3 linked regions of the Macaca fascicularis genome follow. The protein of the gene in region 2 purifies or fractionates together with the protein of the main gene of each other region. This does not show direct contact. Links are inferred from orthologs where the notes say so. Each region holds a gene or a part of one and is shown on either strand. Other genes may lie near its edges.

Region 1 (4,242 bases), on a different chromosome or scaffold from region 2:
ATGAACTCCCAGTTTTCATAGTGGCCCCGGCTGCCTTTCCAATCACATTCCCTACCACTCTCCAGCAACACTGACCTCCTTGTTAGTCCCCAACATGCCAGGCATAGTCTCTCCTCATGGCCTTTGAACTTGCCTGGAATGTTCTTTCCCCAGATATTCAAATGAGGGAGTAAAATGAGGATGAAAACCCATAGATACCTAAATAGCACCCCCTTTACTCTTACTCTATCTTTCTCAAAGCCCCTGTCACTATGTGAAATGATACATTATACTTATGTGTATGCTAGTATGAATCTTCCCGGCAAGAATCTTAGTATGCTGTCTGTTCAGTACCATGCATCCAGAGCCTGGAAGAGTGCCTGGCACATAGCAGGTAGTCAATAAATGAATGGGGGCAGGCAGCCAAATCAGAATCAGGTTTTCTTGCTAAGCATAGAACTAACAGAAGGATCACTGAATGGATTGGATAATGACTGGCATCAGGGTAAGGTCCCCTTAACAAACACTCCTGTCCTGAACACCTGGTTAGCTAACACTTTTCTCATATTTTCCCAAAACACAATTGCTGGATCTCAGCTCCAAATCCATTTTTCTAGGAAAGTGAACAATTGCTGGATCTCAGCTCCCAAATCACATCTTTCAGGCAGAGCTAACATTGCCCCTTATTCACACCTCCACCAAACCATCTGATCCAACAATGACAGGTGTCACGAGGCCTTGGCATGCACTCTCTTCCCCCGCCAGAGTTCTGCGAAGGCCAGGGTTGGGATTTGTTGTCAGTTTATTCCCCACCCCTACGAGAACGTGACCACCGGGCAGGCTCAGATGAAATAATGCATTGAGTAGGCCTCTGAAACCAAGGCCCCTCAGCTGGGGCAACGTCAGGCTCCAGGGCGGGTAACTTTGCTGCTTCTGCTGAAAATGGTGATATTGAGAAACTGCGGGTGCAGTGAAACGCTTATTGCAGCGCACTCGGTGCATCTGTGGACAGAGGGTCAATCGCCCCTCAGGGCCGCGCAAACAGGCGTCCCGAGCCTGGGCCTTCACTTGCCCCAGCATCCGCAAGGGTCCATTAATCCTTAACATTCAAATTCCGCCCACTAAACCAGCCCCTCCGCGCCCAAGCCGCCTCTTTTCCCCAAACGTCGGCCGAAAGCAGCCAATCAACAGCTGGAGGGGACCGCCTCCTTTTCCCTGGCCGAAATGGACAAGAAATCTCGCCAATTGACGGCATCGCCGCTGTGACCGCCCCCCCGCCCCAGCCCGGCCATCACAGCCAATGGCGGGCGGGCTCGCAGCGGCGCCGGGGGCGGGGCGCGGGCGCGCAGGTGCAGCAGCGCGCGGGCCGGCCGGGAGGGCGGGGCGCGACGTCGACCGTGCGGGGTCCCGGCGTCGGCGGCGCGCGCGCTCCCTCCTCTCGGAGAGAGGGCTGTGGTAAAAGCCGTCCGGAAAATGGCCGCCGCCGCCGCCGCCGCGCCGAGCGGAGGAGGAGGAGGAGGCGAGGAGGAGAGACTGTGAGTGGGACCGCCGTGGCCGCGGGCGGGGACCCTTGCCGGGGGGCGGGGGTCAGGGGCGGGACGTGGCGCGGGAGGGGCCCGCGGGGTCGGACGACACGGCTGGCGGATGGCGTCCCTCCTCTCTACCCTCCCCCTCCCGCCGCCGCCGGTGGCGACTCTCCCTTCGGCCCGTCACCCGTGCTCGCGGGTGACCGTCCTCGGCGCGGCCTCCCTGGAGCCGCCTTCGCCTGACGCCCCTCTTCCTTCCGCCCTCGGCGCGCATCCCGGCCCCCGGCCCCGCGGGCGCCCCTGTCGCCGGGGCTTCGCCTGTCGGGGCTGCGCGCGCTCCTGCCCTGCTCGGGGCTTTGGGCCGCGGCGCCGTCGCGCGCCCGCGGCCCCGGCCTCTCCCTGGATCGCGCTCTCCCCTCTCCTCCCTCGCGCGCCCCCTCTCCCGTTACTTGGCCCCCCCCACCGGCGCGCGTGCGCACTTCGCCTCCCGTCGGGAGAGTGCGCCACAAGGGCTCCTGAGCTCTCACCCCCATCTCTGGGCTTTGCCTCCCCCTCCTTCTCGCCCATTCCATGAATTTCTGCCCCCCCACCCCCACGCGAGCGAGTAGGTCCACCGGCTCCTTTCCCCATCTAGCAGGAACAAGGAGGTGGGGATTATTGTCCACAAAAGGACTAGACATTGTGTTCTGGGTCCCACAACTCATCATAAAGAGGTGGTTATAGTTCCCATCAGGAGCCGTGAGTAGGGGACTGTGCGTCCAGCAGCACCCGAGGCTCTTCGGCGCCTGAGGCTCTAAGGTGCGAGCGTGTCCCCAGGGTGCTCAGAGGTTCTTTGGAGTGCTGTGGCCTCGGAATGTGAGCACCCTCCCATCTTACCCTCCCCTTCGCCGGCGATCTTCCAGTTACATAAGTGGAGTGGGACATAGTAGGTAACGGGCTCTCATCGCCCTGGAGCGCTCGGGATCACCGGTACCAGATGGAGCAAGTTCATCGCGACGCTGTGGCTCCTGTTCATTGTGCCTGAAAGGTTATTCTCTGTTCAGTTTGGTTATGACCGAATCACCCAAACTGAAACTCAGATGACTTTTATATGGCAGTGGCAATGTTTCTGTGGTTTTGCACTAAAGACTTAAGGTCATTATGAAGAGTTTAAAAGGATTGCTCTCGCAGGGGAGACCGTTTATGACATTGCTAAGTATGGACCCCAAGGGGGAAAAAGCTCATTCTGGAATTGCTCTGTGGCGGTGACTTCTGTTGTGAGTGTGTTCGGGTGTGGGTTGGTCACAGCAGAAATGGGCTCCACCACAAAATTGATATTCCTGACTCATGGTCAGACAGATGTGTGCTTCTGGTTATTTTTCCAGGAACAGGAATGGGCTCTGCCGAGCCTTGCACACGTTGTGTCTCTGCTGTGCGGGATCAGTACCCCAAACTGAGATAACAGGATCGAATTCATGGGTTGGTTGGTGATCCAGGAACCATACCTACTTGGATGTGATACTGAGTGACTTAGACGTTGTAGGACTCTCATAAGTTTTAGGCATTTTGTTATACTGTAAAAAGCATATACGGCCTCGGTAGTAACGTTGCACTAATAGGTAATTATTACTCTAGAGAATTTTGGGTTCCGTGGCTGGAATGTTCATCTGTATCTCAGCAATTTCAGTTAATAACCAGATTAAGCTGACCTCTTGAGTCTTTTGAAATCTGCTGGGTCCCTATAATAAGATAGGGTCTGGATTTTTTAATCTTTTGGGAATTTCCACCAAGGATTTAGGGAAATAGGCTTATTTATGGGCTTTTCAGGATTTCTATTTTAAATCCCAGTCAGGAAGTGTAGGAAGCACTTGCTTTTATTTTCTTACGTGAATATGTCAGAACCTTAAATCACCCAATCAATCTAGAAGTAGTACAATTGATTAAAATAAGTCACCACAGGTCACCCATTCGTGGCAGGTCAGCTAGGTGGCTGATCACTGGAATACAGTCATATCCCCAGGCAGACACAGGAGCCTCACTTGACGATCCCAAAGTTTGTACATCTGAGCTTGAGACATGACAAGTTGAGGTCTCTGCTTTGTTCTTCATAGTTGGCAGTTTGTCTCCTCGGGTTCCCCTCCAGTTAGCTGTTTATCATACACCTAGCCCTTTCAACAGTGCAGGCAGCTTCCATAGTATAGTTTTCTCTTCAAAGTGCCGGGTGGAGGGGTACCCCCCTTTCCATTGTCCTAATGGCTCCATAGGGCTTCCATACCAGCCCTTTCCAGTGTCCTAACAGCTCAAAGAAACCATCTATGACTTTCTTGTTAGCACTGGCCTATCACACCTTCCTATTGCCTGTTACTAAAATTTAACCTGGAATGCTTTAAGCTTAGAGTACTGGGTCTTTGTTTTACCCGATTGATAGGAGAGTGTCATACAGTCAGCAGAACTCCGACTTTTGTGCTGTTTAATACTTAGGTAGGTCTGGGGCAAGGCACAAACCACTGTGTATTCAAAGGGTTATGGTGCTTACATTCTGTGTGTATATGTTTGTAATTTCCAACCAGAGTCATTTCCCGTGCCTGCCCTGCCTCTGTGCAATCTCATCTAGTGGAGTAGGGAGGCAAGCTGTGGAGTTTGAAAAAAAAATAAACAAAAAAACTGGCTAGATGAGTTTAATAGGCTGTTACCCCCTCTGGAACATTCCTCCCATGTGGAGATGAAATGAGAAGTTCGTTTCTTTAACCTAAAATAA
Region 2 (4,107 bases):
CTACCCCTAATGTATGCAAAAGGATATTAAAGTCACCAGAGGACAACCATAAGGCACTATGAATTTCTAAACAAACAAACAAACACCCTCGTTAATGTCAATGTATACTTGTTTTTTTAAAGTCACACATCACAATCTTCTTCTAATACAGCCTCAGCACTTAATCTGATTTTGACTAAAGTGCTAAAAGATATGAGGTAGGAGGAAACATCAATTTAAAAAATAAGGATAACTTCAGAAAGTCTGACAATTCCACCAAAGGTTGAACGCCAGTTTCCATATGATCTAGCAATTCTATTCCTAGGCATATAGCCAAGAGAAATAAAACATACGTCCACACAAACATGTTCTTAGCAGTATTATGTAAAATAGCTAAAAAAGTGGAAACAATGAAAATGTTCATTAACTGATGAACGGATAAATAAAATGTGGTATATCCATGAGCTGGAGGATCATTAGGTCATAAGGAGAAATGAAACACTGATACATTCTTGTTACGACATGGATAAACCTTGAAAACATTACACTATGGGAAAGAAGTCAGTTACAAAAGAGCACAAATTGTACAATTCCATTTATATGGAATGTCCAGGATAGGCAAATCTAAGAAGACAAAAAACTGGTTGCCTGGGGCTGGGGTAGTTGGGAATTGGAGAGTGACTGTTAATGAGTACAGGTTTCTTTTTGGCGTGGTGAAAATGTTCTAAGATTGATTGTGGTGATGGCTGCAAAACTGCGAATACACTAAAAGCCACTTTAAGTGGGTGAATTGTATGCCATGTGAATTACATTTCAATGAAGCTGCTAGAAAAATGAAGCCAGAAATGTAGAGGAAAAAAGGGTTACAGGGATCTGTCAAGCACCTAATTGCTCTTTTTCTGGATTCTGTAATTTTGTGGTAATTATCAGTTTTTAAGTTTTATCATTTGTGATTTTTTTCTCATTCTAAGTATTCATATTAGTAAAAAACATTTTCACCACCACAAGTAAATTTACTGAAAAATCATTGTTATTTAAGCAGCTCATTTTTATAGCATGCGAATTATCTCAATAAAGATGTGACATCTTTGTATTAAAAAAGGGATCACAACGGTAATATGTTAACCTTAAAAGAACCACAGAATTAACAGCCCTGGACACTTAGTACTCCCTCAAATTATGAAACCCACTAAAACGCATAAACTACTTTAAAGATAATATTAACAGCTTTGTAAAAAGCCCAAAAAATATTTCAGTCAAGCAAACGCTCAAGTTCAGAAATGTCATGGGAAGTTGAAGATTTCATTACGAAAACATACCGAGGAACAACATAAAAAATACTGCTTGACCACTTTCCCTAAAAGCTAAACTCGTGATTAAGATGCAGAAGGGAAGTATTAAAATAAATCTATTTATCTAAACTATTAAAGCTGAAGGGAAGAAGTCTTCTATCAAAAATCTCAGTGGGGTGTGTGGGTATGCGTGTGTGAATGCATGTATTTAAACCATACGCCCCATGTAGACAATCTGGGGAGCAGCTGTATCTAAGACAATGATTTTTTTTTTCTTTTTTAAATAATCAAACGTGATGGTGCCATTCCCTAGCCCACCCCATCCCCCACTACCACCACCAGCAGGTGGAGGGAAAGGATACTGTAGACTAGAGGATGACAGCTTTGTATAACCCTTTGGACTTTATATGTAAGAATGCAGCTGGTGGTCTCCTCTCAGGAGGGGGTAAAGAGATTTGTGGACAAGCTGAAATAAGGGGTATCCTTTGCCTGGAAGAGGGCACACCGTGAGCCACATCTTGAATCAGCTATATCCAGAGTAAAACACAGGCCGCTGGAAGGCACTGTTAGCATCACCAGGATGGCCTCTCACGCCGGGGGTGTTTTTTTCAACGGAGAAGTTGTCCTGTAGTTTGGATATTGGGGGGAGGCAGGGGTAAAGCGGGAGTCGGGAAGACCAGAAAAAATGCCTTTAAGTGGAGACGCCTCAGGCCTCGCTGAGGAAGTTCAGAGCCCCACTCGGTCGCCACACGCTCACCCTCCCACCCCCACCGCCCTCCTTCCCGCAGCGCCAGACGTCGGTGCCCGAGCGAGAGCCGGAATCTCCGCCGCTGCCAGGGAGGGCCGCGGCCCGGGCCGGGCAGCGCCGACCGCACACGCACGCCTCCTCCGCACGCGCCGCGCCCGGCCTCCCCGCCGCGCGGCCCGACCCCTCGCACCCGCGCCGGGCCGGCTCTGCCGGGCAGGCCTAGGCCGCGCCGGCCGTACCCGGGCACCTCGCTCCCCGGCGGAGGCGGAGCAGGCCCGACATAAACTTCCCGGCGCGCTAGCAGAGGCGTCACGGACGGGCCGGCCCCCAGCGCCATTCCCCGAGGCCCGGAGGCGGCTCCCGCCCCTACTCCCCACACTCGGGGTCCCGGCGGAGACCGGCCCCAGGCCCACGGCCCCCACCCCTCCGGCGTCGTCCAGCAGTTTACCTCCAAGTCGCGGCCTTTGTTCTTGAAATTCTTGAGCCGTTGGTTGTCCAGTTTCTCGTTGTCCGCCATGGCCGGGCCGGTGACTCCTTCCCCCGCCCGGGCCCCGCGGGATCCGCCCCAACCACCGCGCCGCACCGACACTCCCAGGAACCGGGTCGCCGCCTGAGCTGCTGTGCTCGCCGCGCCGCCGCTTCCTTCCTCCTCTCACCTGCCTCCGCCGCGGCCTTCTCCTCTCCCCGCCCGCCCCCCCGCCCTAACCCCAGCGCGACTGCAGCTCCGGCAAAGACAACTGTGGGGCCGGGCGGCGGCAACGGCGGCGGAATGTGCTGCCGGCTGAGAGGGGGAGGCAGCCTCGATCTGAGGGCCCCGGAGCTGCGGCCACGCCCATCGCCTCCAGCCCAGCTCGCCCATTGGCCAACCAGGCTCCGGTGCGTTCGACCAATGGGAAGGGGCGATGGAGAGCCGGGGCGGAAAGAGCGAACGGAAAGGGGAAGCGAACGACGCTGGGAGGAGCCGGCTCGGGGCCGGGAGGGGTGCGGCTGGGGTAGGCAGGGAAGGACCACGTGCCTTCGGAGAGATGGGGAGGAAGCGACAGAGAAGTACACTTCAGGGGAAACCAGCAAGGGGAAGGAGAGGCCGGGGAACGCAGCAGGGCGAGTTGTTTTGCATCACTCGTCCGGGAAGCCCTAGATGCAGGGGTCCAGGGTCGAGACTGCGTTAAAGTAACGTTCTTCTCTCCCCGGGCGCGCCCTGTCTTCCTGGGCATTCCTTGCGCTCTCTGTTCGCTTTGCAGAGAGATCTGAGCTTCGCTCTTTCCCAGGTCGGACGCTCGCAGCTCCGTTCCCGGGCTGGGGCTCCCTGCCGTCCAGGGTCGAGTCTGGGGGCCAGGACCTGCAGGGATGACGTGAGTTGAGGAGGCTCAGCGGAAAGCGACAGGAACGCTGGGTGGAAAAGGAAAGGGCCCAGTAGACGTATCTGATTTATCTTCTGTGACTAAGCGCCCGCAACAGGTAGGAATTTAGGCAGAGCTGGTGATCCTTGGACAATAGCACTTCCTAGGTAATTCGTCTTAGAAAGTTAAAGAAGCTGCTTGACCACAAAGTATGAACTTCTGGAGGGCGGAGCCCGTGGCAGCTGACAGGGAATATTGTCTGTTGAGAAAGGAAATGAATTCCAGGGATACCAGGGACAACAACATTACCAGAGGCAGAAATGACACGAGATACAAAAGAACGTATTCAAAAATTTCACAAAACAGAAATGGAAAATTATCTTAAAATATATTGAAATATCAACGAATAACATCTCAAATGTCCAGGGATATGTAAAGCAGCAACTCTGGTCGGAAGCAAGGAATCGAGGCGTTGGGTGTGTTTAAACTTGGCTAGGCAGGGAGAAGAGACCCTGATACAAACTCCTTCAGAATCGTTGACTCCCGGTCCTTTCTAGTGTATTTTTTGAGCAGAACAACGTGCAGAGATAAATGTTTAAAATGCATATGTTTCTTAGGGAAACACTTTTAAAGCCAACAGAGGGGAATTTTTTTTTTAAGTTAAAATGGAAGAAGTCAGTGGGTTTAACAGATGTGAACAACTGAGTTTCCTTTGGGGGAGAGGTAATGAAAAGAGCCGGAGTACTTT
Region 3 (4,187 bases), on a different chromosome or scaffold from region 2:
TAACAACTAAAAATCTCTCCAGACATCTCCAAATGTCCTGTGAGGGACAAAGTTGCCCCCAGCTGAGACCACTCAGTAGGCAGGTCACCTGTCCTCTTGGCTTCAGTAACATCTTACAGCGGATAAGTACTATTGTACGTTCTGCACAAGAGCGCTCTACTGCAGACCCACATTCTGAATGGCTGCCCTGACAGCTCCTTTTTTTTTTGAGACGGAGTCCCACTTTGTCGCCAGGCTGGAGTGCAGTGGAGCTCTTGGCTCACTACAATCTCCTGCCTCTGTCTCCCGAATAGCTGGGACTACAGGTGCGTATGCCACCACACCCAGCTAATTTTTGATTAATTTTAGAGATGGGGTTTCACCATGTTGGCCAAGATGGTCTCGATCTCTTGATCCTCCCGCCTTGGTCTCCCAAAGTGCTGGGATGCTGGGATTACAGGCGTGAGCCTGGCAGACGGCTCCTCTTAAACTCCACCTGTCCTAAACTGAACCCTCCCTTCCCCATCTCTCTGCAGCCTCCTCCTTTGATCTGATGTAAATGAATGGCACCAACCCCAAAAGTGGGAGTCTTTAACTCCAACGTTTCTTACCTCCCACATCAGTTCATCATTAACATCTGTCAAGTCTATTTCTTTAAATCTCTCTTGAACAAGTCCACTTCTCTCCATTCCCACTGCACTACCTCTGCCCAAGGTCATGGTCTTTACAGCCTTCCTTGCTGATGGTAGCAAGGTGTCTCCCTGCCCTCTAGTCATTCCCTCTGTTTCCTTCCTTGCAGTGTAAGTTACCAGTCATGATGAATTTCCTTCACTTCCTACAAAACTCTAAGTTCTCTTGCACCTTTGGGTTTTTGTCCACGTTAATCTCTCTCCCTAGAATATCTGCACTGCTCCCCACCCCACCCTGGAGTGACTGAGGTAAACACATCTTAATTCCTCTTAAAAAACAAAACCAAAAACCCTTTCCTGGTAGACACTAAGGCTTTATCAGGTGCACCCACAGCTCTTGTTAGCCCCTCCATAAGCATTTGTCACGCCCCACTATTGCGTGTTTGTCACTTTCTCCACCTGACTGCCAACTGTGAGAACAAGTTTTATCCTGCTCACCTTTCTAACCCCAACACCTGGCGCGGAGTAGGCCCTCAGGAAGTATTTGCTGAAAAAAATTAAGATGTAGTGAATCAACTTCTACTCACTGGCTTGTTCATTTCCATCATGAAAGTGGCTCACTGCCATTCCTGCCCCAGAGCTCACAGTCCAGGGGAGGAGGGAAGAGGGAGGGCCACATGTAAACAATTATTTACAGCACAAGAGTCTAGCCCTTTCATGATAAAAGCAACCTTGAGCTTGGACCAGACTAGCAATTATTATTAATTTTCCCTTCTTCTACAATTCCTAAATTTCACTCACTCTTCTTCCTTCTCTTGATGAGGAAATTGAGCTAAGAGAGCATCTTTGGCCTCTTTTACATCATAAATCAACACTTGCTGTTCTTGTCTTCTTAGTCAAAGCCTGGCAAACTCCTATCCAACCTTTGAAACCCATCTCAAGTATCACTCCCTGAATGAAGTCCTCCCCTTGAGTATTCTACTCAAGGGTTTACTTCAGATTCCACACACTCAGTGTATACACATCTCTCATTGTGTTTCATATTACATCTGAGTATGTGACACTCTATTCAAACAGATTTTAAGTTCCTCGAGGAAGGGACATTATATTCAGGCATTTTCATATCTACCATGCACCGGACACAGTGCATCAGGGTAAGGGGAGACTCTGCTCAGCCAGCAGGGACAGCATGTACTTGGGCATAATGGTTAAGAGCAGAGGCTCTACACTCTGACTCCTTGAGAGCGAATTCAGGCCCCAATATTTACTAGTTGCGTTAAATCTGAACAAACTAACCTCAGTTTCCTGTATAAAACGAAGACAGTAATAGTAACAACCTCATAGCATTGTGTGGACAATAAATGGTTCACCACCATAAAATGCCTACAACTGTGCCTGGCACATAGCAAGAGCTCTACATGTTAGGCATTCTCCTAAATGTCTGTTTCCCCACGAGGCTAACGAGGGTTCCAATGAATTACTATGGCGCCCACCATCATCACTGACAAGGGCTAAGTCTACGGGTTAGACAGGCACATGTAAACAAATACTCACATACAAGATTTTGGGTGTCCTAACAGCCTTTCTAACCCTAAAATAGCATTCACTTCCATGCTAGAGTGAAAGGAAACTTCAGCCTTTTATTTCGTTTTATTGTAATCGCAGAGCATCTTACGCTGTCAACTCAAACCCAGCAGCAGCCGGGTCTGATCCTCAATCCGCCCTCCTGCATCTCTCAGGGATGTCTCTGCACCCAAACACCATGTCCCACACAGAACCCTTCCCAAAACACGCCTCCGGCTCCCTTCTCGTCCTCGTGGCTAGAGCGTCCGCCACTCTTCTCTTGCTTATTCAGGTCATCTCCAGGGACAAGGCCATGACCCCCATTTCACAGAGGAAGAAACCGAAGCTCACAAAGTGCGCGGGGTTCAAATCAAGAGCCTGGGCCGGAGACCCGAGTCTACTGACCCAAGGAGAGAGCAGGAAACAGGGAGAAGGCTGGAGTCAGGCTGGCCGACCAACTCGCGACCCCACACTCTCGCCGTCCCCCCTCTCCCCGCCCCTGCGCTGTGGCCGCCTCTCCGCGACAACCCGCGGAACCTGGACCACACTCCGACGCATGACTCCCACTAAGCTCCAGACGTCGGTGCCCGCCTTGCCCAGGCCGGGCTCAAGTACCTGAGGTAGCCGCCGCTGCCGCTACCGCTGCCGCCATCTCGCGTTGCCTCTGCTGCGTCGAGACCCCCGCGGACATTCCCCTCCCTCCTTGGGCCCGCCTCTCCCATTCGAATTCCCCGTTGCCCCGCCCCCTCTCCCAGGCTCCGCCAATCACGACTACGCGCCGCCGGAAGCTCCTGCGGGTGGCTCGCCACTATCCCGCCCTCCAGCGCTCGCCTCCGGGTCTCCAAGAAAAGGTTCCACTGGTCAGGACGCATGCGCGCGCGTGGGCCGCGCAACCGTTGACCTCTGAGAGCGCGCTGCGGTTCAAACCCCTACGCGGAGATGTTGACGACGGTGGCCGTTGGGGGAGCTGCTGAGCGCCGCCCGGCACTGGGCTCCCTTTCGTTTCATTTTCTGCAGTTTCTTGCCTCCGTGGTTGGTGGCGCGTCTGCGGAGACAGAGTCGTTGTGTGGATCGTGGGACTGCAGCCCCAGCCAAAGGGCTGTCACGTCTGGTCGGTTCTGTAGATCTGGGCCCCAGGGGCTGGACTGTGGGTAGTCACGTTGCACTCGCTGCCTGCTGGGCCCAAGGCCACTGTAGGTCCCTTCGCGTCCATGTCAGCCCAGGAGAGCAGCTGGGATGTTCCTGTCTTTATAACTTGGGACTCAGCACGTCGGCGAAGCGTGGAAAACGCTTGTTCTGTGATTCAGTCCCACTCACCCGCGGTTCCGGTTCCCAGTCTTTAAGGGTACAGCGGTCCGTTGAGTAGCTCTCTGTCCTTTGTGAAAGGTTGGCTAGGGACTGTCATTCCACTTTTGAGCACCAGGTAGGTAGGGCCCAGGTTTAGACATTATGTTCCACCCTACTGAACAACAAAACAAAACCCAGGCCGGGCTTGGTGGCTCAGTCCTGTAATCCCAGCACTTTGGGAGGCTGAGGCGGGGGGATCACTGAGGTGAGGAGCTCGAGACCAGTCTGGCCAACATGGCGAAACCCCATCTCTACTAAAAACATAAAAATTAGCCGGGGGTGGTGTCGCACCTGTAATCCCAGCTACTCGGGAGGCTGAGGCAGGAGAATCGCTTGAACCTGGGAGATGTAGGTTGCAGTGAGCTGAGATGGTGCCACTGCACACCCCGTCTCAAAACAAAAAACACAAATCTTACATCAGTGTTTCTGAAACGTTTTGCCTTGGGATCCCACTACAGTTTTTAGAAATGAGGCCTCTAAAGATGTTTTGCGTATATGAGGGCTTTTGTTTTTTTGTTTTTGAGATAGGATTTCACTTCCATCTCCCAGGCTAGAGTGCAGTGGCTCAATCTCGGTTCACTCCAACCTCTGCCTCTCGGGTTCAAATGATTCTCCTGCCTCAGCCTCCCGAGTAGCTGGGATTACAGGCATGCAGCAACACGGTCAGCT

Evidence for each region. The genes of interacting proteins can lie anywhere in the genome.
Region 1: the proteins of KPNA4 (region 2) and MECP2 purify together in Homo sapiens (affinity purification with mass spectrometry; 3 studies listed by BioGRID and IntAct, counting the BioPlex papers as one, with this or other methods). This does not show direct contact. The link is inferred for Macaca fascicularis from reciprocal best matches to the Homo sapiens genes KPNA4 and MECP2.
Region 3: the proteins of KPNA4 (region 2) and KIF22 purify together in Homo sapiens (affinity purification with mass spectrometry; 3 studies listed by BioGRID and IntAct, counting the BioPlex papers as one, with this or other methods). This does not show direct contact. The link is inferred for Macaca fascicularis from reciprocal best matches to the Homo sapiens genes KPNA4 and KIF22.

What each region holds. Positions count from the first base shown.
Region 1 is NC_088395.1:160,165,526-160,169,767, reverse strand, and holds the start of MECP2 (methyl-CpG-binding protein 2), read left to right. Parts: upstream 1-1,419; 5' UTR 1,420-1,452; coding exon 1,453-1,514; intron 1,515-4,242. UniProt on the Homo sapiens protein: Chromosomal protein that binds to methylated DNA. It can bind specifically to a single methyl-CpG pair. It is not influenced by sequences flanking the methyl-CpGs.
Region 2 is NC_088376.1:63,526,354-63,530,460, forward strand, and holds the start of KPNA4 (importin subunit alpha-3), read right to left. Parts: upstream 2,827-4,107; 5' UTR 2,537-2,826; coding exon 2,468-2,536; intron 1-2,467. UniProt on the Homo sapiens protein: Functions in nuclear protein import as an adapter protein for nuclear receptor KPNB1. Binds specifically and directly to substrates containing either a simple or bipartite NLS motif.
Region 3 is NC_088394.1:28,312,959-28,317,145, forward strand, and holds the start of KIF22 (kinesin-like protein KIF22), read right to left. Parts: upstream 2,824-4,187; coding exon 2,787-2,823; intron 1,156-2,786; exon of another isoform or gene 1,107-1,155; intron 1-1,106. UniProt on the Homo sapiens protein: Kinesin family member that is involved in spindle formation and the movements of chromosomes during mitosis and meiosis. Binds to microtubules and to DNA. Plays a role in congression of laterally attached chromosomes in NDC80-depleted cells.